Linked DNA regions of Arabidopsis thaliana. The protein of the gene in region 1 interacts with the protein of each later gene in a pairwise test. Each region holds a gene or a part of one and is shown in the gene's direction. Other genes may lie near its edges. The genes, in order: ABCG23 and CA1.

Evidence for each region.
Region 2: the proteins of ABCG23 (region 1) and CA1 interact in a protein complementation assay, tested with the Arabidopsis thaliana proteins (one large-scale study listed by BioGRID).

What each region holds. Positions count from the first base shown.
Region 1 is NC_003076.8:6,545,169-6,549,095, reverse strand, and holds ABCG23 (ABC-2 type transporter family protein), read left to right. Parts: upstream 1-1,918; 5' UTR 1,919-1,957; coding exon 1,958-3,859; 3' UTR 3,860-3,874; downstream 3,875-3,927. Other genes in the region: AT5G19420 (Regulator of chromosome condensation (RCC1) family with FYVE zinc finger domain-containing protein), read left to right, coding at 1-137, 296-442, 527-909, 1,016-1,151.
Region 2 is NC_003074.8:196,305-200,231, reverse strand, and holds the start of CA1 (carbonic anhydrase 1), read left to right. Parts: upstream 1-2,071; 5' UTR 2,072-2,358; coding exon 2,359-2,580; intron 2,581-2,667; exon of another isoform or gene 2,668-3,384; intron 3,385-3,506; coding exon 3,507-3,568; intron 3,569-3,726; coding exon 3,727-3,876; intron 3,877-3,927. Other genes in the region: LSF1 (uncharacterized protein), read left to right, coding at 1-66, 158-373, 478-583, 696-808, 984-1,128, 1,255-1,377. UniProt on the Arabidopsis thaliana protein: Reversible hydration of carbon dioxide. Required for photosynthesis in cotyledons. Binds salicylic acid.

The sequences.
Region 1 (3,927 bases):
CAAGACGTCCTAGCCCACCTCGGTCAACAACGCCAACTCCCACTCTTTCAGGACTAACTACACCAAAAATTGTCGTGGATGATACCAAGAGAAGCAATGATAACCTAAGCCAAGAGGTGGTTATGCTAAGATCTCAAGTAAGCTGCTTTCCACGCTTTAATTCTTGTTCCTTACTCCTGTGTATTTAGGAAAAAAACATAGCTGGTGAGATTGTGCTATTTTGTTTCATTAACATATCGTTTCATTCTTTGCAATTTGACTCCTTTTGCGAACTCAGTAGTAAATGATTTCACAGGTTGAAAATCTTACACGGAAGGCACAACTTCAAGAAGTTGAACTGGAAAGAACAACCAAACAGCTAAAGGAGGCACTAGCAATTGCTAGTGAAGAATCAGCGAGATGCAAGGCAGCAAAAGAAGTGATCAAATCACTTACCGCTCAAGTAAATTCCAAAGTTTCCTCTCTGCTGTTAAAATGAATGAAAATGCTCTATGCAACTTACTGATTTTCTCAATAAAACATGCAGTTGAAAGACATGGCTGAAAGACTACCTGTTGGATCAGCTCGGACTGTCAAGTCTCCGTCTCTCAATTCATTTGGTTCCAGTCCTGATTACGCTGCCCCTTCTTCTAACACCTTAAACCGTCCAAACAGTCGAGAAACTGATTCTGATAGCCTAACCACCGTCCCAATGTTTTCAAATGGGACCAGCACACCTGTTTTCGATAGTGGAAGTTACCGACAGCAAGCTAATCATGCTGCTGAAGCGATAAATAGAATCAGCACACGATCAAAAGAAAGTGAACCCCGTAACGAAAATGAATGGGTTGAACAAGATGAACCTGGTGTGTACATCACTCTCACAGCCTTAGCTGGAGGTGCAAGGGATCTCAAACGTGTCCGTTTCAGGTACCAGAATGCTTTTTTTTTGTTTTATAGTCTTAGCTGGAATGTTTGGATGCTCCTTTTTATTGGTTATGAAATGAGCTTAATCCGAGGATGTCTTTGATGGCAGCCGGAAGCGGTTTAGTGAGAAACAAGCAGAAGAATGGTGGGCAGAGAACAGAGGAAGAGTTTACGAACAATACAATGTACGCATAGTAGTTGATAAATCCAGTGTGGGTGTAGGAAGTGAAGACTTGGGTCATTAATATTCTTCGCTAACCCCTGATAACACAGAAAACCCTGAGTTTCCCACTCATCTATTCTTTTTTAGTTTCTGTCTACGGGTTTCATAGGTTTATTTGGGGATTATAACCAAGAGAGAAAATAGTTTTCATCATAGTTTGGGTGTTTTTCATATGTAAATTCTTTTGTAAATTCCACAAGCATACATTGTTTCGTTCTTTGTCTCGATAAATGTTATTATTTGATGTTGAAATTCAAACAGCATTAATGGTATGGTGTCAGTGCGAGCTTATACATTTTAGATGTCTATGGGCAAATTTAAATGATATGCTTCTTAACATCATAATACTGTATTTTTTTAATAGGCTTCTTTTTTTAACAAAATCATTTAATGCCCCTTTGGTATATACAAATTATTACGAATGCTATCTTAAATGCAATTAATTTTGTATCAAAATCTATTTTCAGATTCATTCTTTTGACATCATGAATTTCTCATGACGGAATACAATTAGCATGTTGATACCATTGGAAAGTACATTTTAGTAATGAATTTAACACGTTACCTTTTTGTTTGATACACCAATACTCTTTATTCCTGGTCAACCACTAATACCGTTTACATATATGTAAGATAAATTTATCTTATACGATAAACTCAGCAAAATCAAACAATTAATGACCAACCAAAAAGAATTAGATACACAGGTTTTGAAGAGTTGCACCAACCTCTGCCTACCACATTAAACACTTGTTTCTTTTGTTGGTCGACCAATTCTGAAAAAAAAGTTTTACTCATACATAAAAAGCATTAGTAGACCTTTTTGATATGAAGAAGAACAACAATACTCATACCATGGCTTCCTGCTTCCACCCTTCTGCTATGGCTACAAGCCACCGCGAGGAAGACTCCATCATTCTTTTCTCAGCATCAAACTCTCCTGATGAATTCTCCTCTGCTTCCTCTTCCTTTTCTTCTTCACCACTCCCAACCCCTAACCGCTACTCTTTAACCGTCACTAACCTATCCTACACCATCAATCACACCCCAATACTCAATTCCGTTTCATTAGCTGCTGAATCCTCTAAAATCCTAGCCGTGGTTGGACCGAGTGGAACAGGAAAATCCACTCTTTTAAAGATCATTTCAGGAAGAGTGAACCACAAGGCACTAGATCCGTCTTCCGCGGTTTTGATGAACAATCGTAAAATCACTGACTATAACCAACTACGAAGGCTATGCGGGTTTGTCCCGCAGGACGATGACCTACTGCCTCTACTTACCGTGAAAGAGACGTTAATGTATAGCGCCAAATTCAGTTTGAGAGATTCAACGGCTAAGGAAAGAGAAGAGAGAGTGGAGAGCTTGTTGAGTGATCTCGGTCTTGTTCTCGTCCAAGACAGCTTCGTGGGAGAAGGAGACGAAGAGGATCGTGGCGTTTCGGGTGGAGAGAGGAAGAGAGTCTCTATAGCCGTTGAGATGATTCGTGATCCACCAATTCTGCTTCTTGACGAACCAACCTCTGGTTTGGATAGTCGAAACTCGCTTCAGGTTGTTGAGCTTTTGGCTACTATGGCGAAATCCAAACAGAGAACCGTCCTCTTCTCCATCCACCAACCAAGTTATAGGATCCTCGATTACATCTCCGATTACCTGATTCTTTCTCGCGGATCGGTTATCCACTTGGGAAGTCTTGAACATCTCGAGGACTCGATAGCGAAACTAGGGTTTCAGATTCCAGAACAGCTGAATCCTATAGAATTCGCCATGGAAATAGTTGAGTCCTTGAGAACTTTTAAGCCAAACTCGGTAGCTGTCGTAGAATCATCATCAATGTGGCCTGAAAACAACGAAAACGATGGGATTATCTCTAAGAAAGAAGCGTTTCGTGTCCTAGACGTCACCGAGATCTCATACCTCTGCTCAAGATTCTGCAAGATCATCTATAGAACAAAGCAGTTGTTCCTGGCGCGAACAATGCAAGCGGTTGTAGCTGGATTAGGTCTAGGTAGCGTCTACACAAGACTCAAGCGTGACGAAGAAGGCGTTGCAGAGCGGCTTGGACTCTTTGCCTTCAGCTTAAGCTTCCTCCTCTCTTCAACAGTCGAAGCACTTCCCATTTACCTCCGAGAACGTCGCGTTCTGATGAAAGAATCATCTCGTGGATCCTACCGAATCTCATCCTACATGATAGCCAACACCATCGCATTTGTACCGTTCCTCTTCGTTGTATCTCTCCTCTTCTCCATCCCAGTCTACTGGATCGTAGGCCTAAACCCATCGATTCAAGCCTTCTCCTTCTTTGTCCTCTGCGTCTGGCTCATCATTCTCATGGCCAGTTCTCTGGTGCTTTTCCTCAGCGCTGTTTCTCCTGACTTCATCTCTGGTAACTCCCTCATATGCACTGTTCTTGGAGCCTTCTTCCTCTTCTCCGGCTACTTTATCCCAAAAGAGAAGATCCCAAAACCATGGATGTTCATGTACTATGTGTCCTTGTACCGTTACCCGCTGGAGTCTATGGTGGTGAATGAGTACTGGAGCATGCGAGAGGAATGCTTCTCCAGTGGGAACATGGGCTGCTTGATGACCGGAGAGGATGTGTTGAAGGAGAGAGGGCTTGACAAGGATACGAGATGGATCAACGTCGGGATCATGCTTGCCTTTTTCGTTTTTTATCGAATCCTCTGCTGGGGTATTCTACTCAGGAAGGCTTCCAAGTCAACCCATTAAAGATTTCATTGTATAGGGAGAACTGTATTCAGTCTTCTATGTTCATATACAATTACAACTTCTTTTTA
Region 2 (3,927 bases), on another chromosome or scaffold:
CGATTCACAAAGTATCAATGATGCATGCCAGAAATCTGAAGTCTTAATGATCAACTACCCTATAAAGTATGCAAAGTCATATCGCCTTGAGGCACATTATGTGCGTTCATGCTTTCATTTCCTACCGCTCTAATCAGTTTTGATATTTTGGTGCCAGGGATGCAGATTCCTTTGATCTTAGGAAGAAGCTACCACTTTGTGTTGGGCTCTTACTACGGTTACTGAAAAAGAACCATCGTGTCTTTGTAACTTGTACCACTGGTTTTGACCGGTCATCCGCTTGTGTGATTGCTTATCTGCACTGGATGACTGATACCTCTCTTCATGCTGCTTATAGTTTCGTTACTGGATTGCACGCTTGCAAACCTGACAGGTTTTTATCCATCTTATCTCTGTCTTGACCATTAACCTGCAGACCATGGATAGCTTTTCTGTTTTAATGAAAACATCAGACAAGTTATATGTATTTTTTCACAGACCTGCAATTGCTTGGGCAACATGGGATCTTATCGCTATGGTGGACGATGGCAAACATGATGGGACTCCAACACACTCTGTAACCTTTGTGTGGAATGGACATGAGGTGACTGTTGCTTCACATGCTTTTATTACTTTGCTGCAATTCTTTATGGAACTCGTGATCTGTAGGGTTGAGCAACTAGCCTCTGTGTTTTAAGTTACACCTTGGTTTACAGGGGGAGGAGGTATTGTTGGTTGGGGATTTCACAGGAAATTGGAAAGAACCGATAAAAGCAACGCACAAAGGCGGTCCACGTTTTGAAACTGAAGTTAGACTTACACAGGGAAAGTAAGTCATGCTTCTTTTACCTTTCCCGTTGATGCTTTTTTTAAGGTTCAACAGTAAAACGTCTCATAATCTTCCCTGCATGTTAATTGTGACTTTTGAGGGATTGCAAACTGCAAAGAAACTTATGAAAATGCATTTGTGTCATATAACTTGGTGATTATTGACAATGTGGCAGATACTACTACAAGTACATAATCAACGGTGATTGGAGGCATTCAGCAACTTCACCAACGGAAAGAGATGACCGAGGAAACACGAACAATATAATTGTAGTTGGTGATGTTGCTAACGTCAGGCCTACAATTCAACAACCAAGAAAGGTTACTCCTACTATGCAGTAGTCTCTTCTTCATACAATAGGAAAAGCTTGAATAAGATGTTCCACGTTATATTTGCCTGATTGGTTCAAGACATAAACCTGAAGCAACTTGTACAATGTTTTGCAGGATGCAAATATCATAAAGGTGATCGAGAGAGTGTTAACAGAGAGCGAAAGATTTAGGCTGGCGAAAGCAGCTCGGTGTATCGCATTCTCAGTTTGTCCAATAAGACTATGCCCAAAGTCGTAGAAGTTTTGTTTTGGCATAAGTTAAAATGTTACATCCATTCTTCTGTCTCTATCCATTCCTCGAGGTACTTAACCCTAATATCGTTGTGAACAACATTGCCACATTCGCGCACTCTATGACAAGAGAATGTTGACATTATGTTGTGTGTTTGCATGAAAAAATGTCGACATAGTTTCGCCGTTGCCCACTTTACATATAAGTCCCAAAACCAACCCTAATGCGTTACTGGTCTCTGTATTTCTTCTTCATTTTCTCTCTCTCTCTCGCTCTCTCCTAACATGTTGAAGAAAATAGAAACTCTGTTATCTAATGTTGCCTATATGATGATTTATGGCCATGGAAGGTCTGAGAGGAGAGACCCTTCTTCTCTATTTTTTTTATTTCCTCTTCATTTTCATGCTAAGAGTTTTCACTGAGTCTGTTGTTTCGTAGAGTAGAACAGTCCATGATCGATGTTAATCCTTTGCATCTTCTAGATTGTGTATACAATAGCAATCTCTGGTCTAGAGAGAGCCTAGAGAAGTATGGATCTTTCTATATGTATACCACAAACAAATGGCCTAACATCTAAAGTGGGTGGTGATTATTTAAGATGAGAGCCTGAGAGGGTAAGTGAAAGAGGCTGATCCTTGTTTTCATGATAAGGGACCTTATCCTCTAAACCTTTCTGAGACCTTTTATTTTTTTATAAAAAAAAGAATTGAAAGAAGAAAAGAGCACGTAAAAGTTTTGAAATCTTGAGCTAATATTCCTCATCCACAAGAAAAGAAGAAAGTTTGTTATTCACCGCAGCTATCGCTTTCGTTATCCTCGTTCCCACAACCTCACCATGACCATGAGACTCCGTTCTTTTAAACTCCCAAATCTTTCAACCAATCCCATTATTCACTTAAGTATATAGTAGCTTCCATAAGAGTCTTAGTTCTAACTATAAATACACATATCTCACTCTCTCTGATCTCCGCTTCTCTTCGCCAACAAATGTCGACCGCTCCTCTCTCCGGCTTCTTTCTCACTTCACTTTCTCCTTCTCAATCTTCTCTCCAGAAACTCTCTCTTCGTACTTCTTCCACCGTCGCTTGCCTCCCACCCGCCTCTTCTTCTTCCTCATCTTCCTCCTCCTCGTCTTCCCGTTCCGTTCCAACGCTTATCCGTAACGAGCCAGTTTTTGCCGCTCCTGCTCCTATCATTGCCCCTTATTGGGTATACATTTTTACATTCATCACTGTTTCTTAACCTACATTATTTCTTACATAACTTACATTGCTGTTTACGTATAATAGGGGTACATTACATAGATAGCAAACTAAAGTTACAGAATTTTAAAATTTGTAAAGATTTTACGAAATTATTATATAGATTCTGCAATTGCCATTTTAGTGATAGGAACAAAAATCTTCTATAGAAACTAGCTTACGAAACTTCCACAAATCTTGGAAACTGTCACATGTGTTTCACATTTCAGTTTTTTTTTCCCTTGGTATTTCCTTATATTATCCTTACTATTATCATCCGTGTTTGACTTTTGGTCTTTAGCGTGGTACTGAAAGAATTACCCAAATTAACAAGAATCAAACTAAAGTTGCTTAATTAGTGAATCACAAGCAAGGGAAGAGTTCATTTTCAATCCTTATTCTATACAGATCTTCAAACTACTTGCTTCGACATCTAGTGAAGTTAAAAACAAATCACCTCGAAATATTAAAAGCGTTGTCTCATTCCTACCCAAGATCCGACATTTTTGAAATTTTGAGAGTTAGAACGTACGTAGGATCCACGTGATAAAAGAAAAGTTGCTAGTAGTAGCTTCAACAAAAACGATTCATGAAACTGAGACGTGTGTGTATGCACATGTACCATATGAGAGCGTGTGGAGCATAGTGGTGATTAAGTCGCCATCTATATTTATTCATTCAACCTACCGATTTGGTTCCTACTAGCGAAAATAAAATCATAATATAAAAGACTATAAAATTGTACTTTATCGTATAATGAAGTTCTGAACAGGTTGATTGTAGTTTCAACATTTAAAACACGTCATGACTCGCTCTCTACTTAATTACGTTCACGACAATAAAATATACTAGTACTCATTTTCTTCTAATTTTATTTGGTCAACCAACTTGCAGAGTGAAGAGATGGGAACCGAAGCATACGACGAGGCTATTGAAGCTCTCAAGAAGCTTCTCATGTAAGTATATACATCTTTTCTATTCGCATGCATACATTAATACATGATTAGATTAATAAAAGCTAAAACATTATTATAAATTAGTAACGGGATTTTTCAATACTACTTAATTCATAATTTTTGTGATTTAACTATAAATGTATATAAACATATGGCAGCGAGAAGGAAGAGCTAAAGACGGTTGCAGCGGCAAAGGTGGAGCAGATCACAGCGGCTCTTCAGACAGGTACTTCATCCGACAAGAAAGCTTTCGACCCCGTCGAAACCATTAAGCAGGGCTTCATCAAATTCAAGAAGGAGAAATACGAGTAATATATATTTCTATTTCATTTGTTTGTTCTTAATTATGTCACCAACTA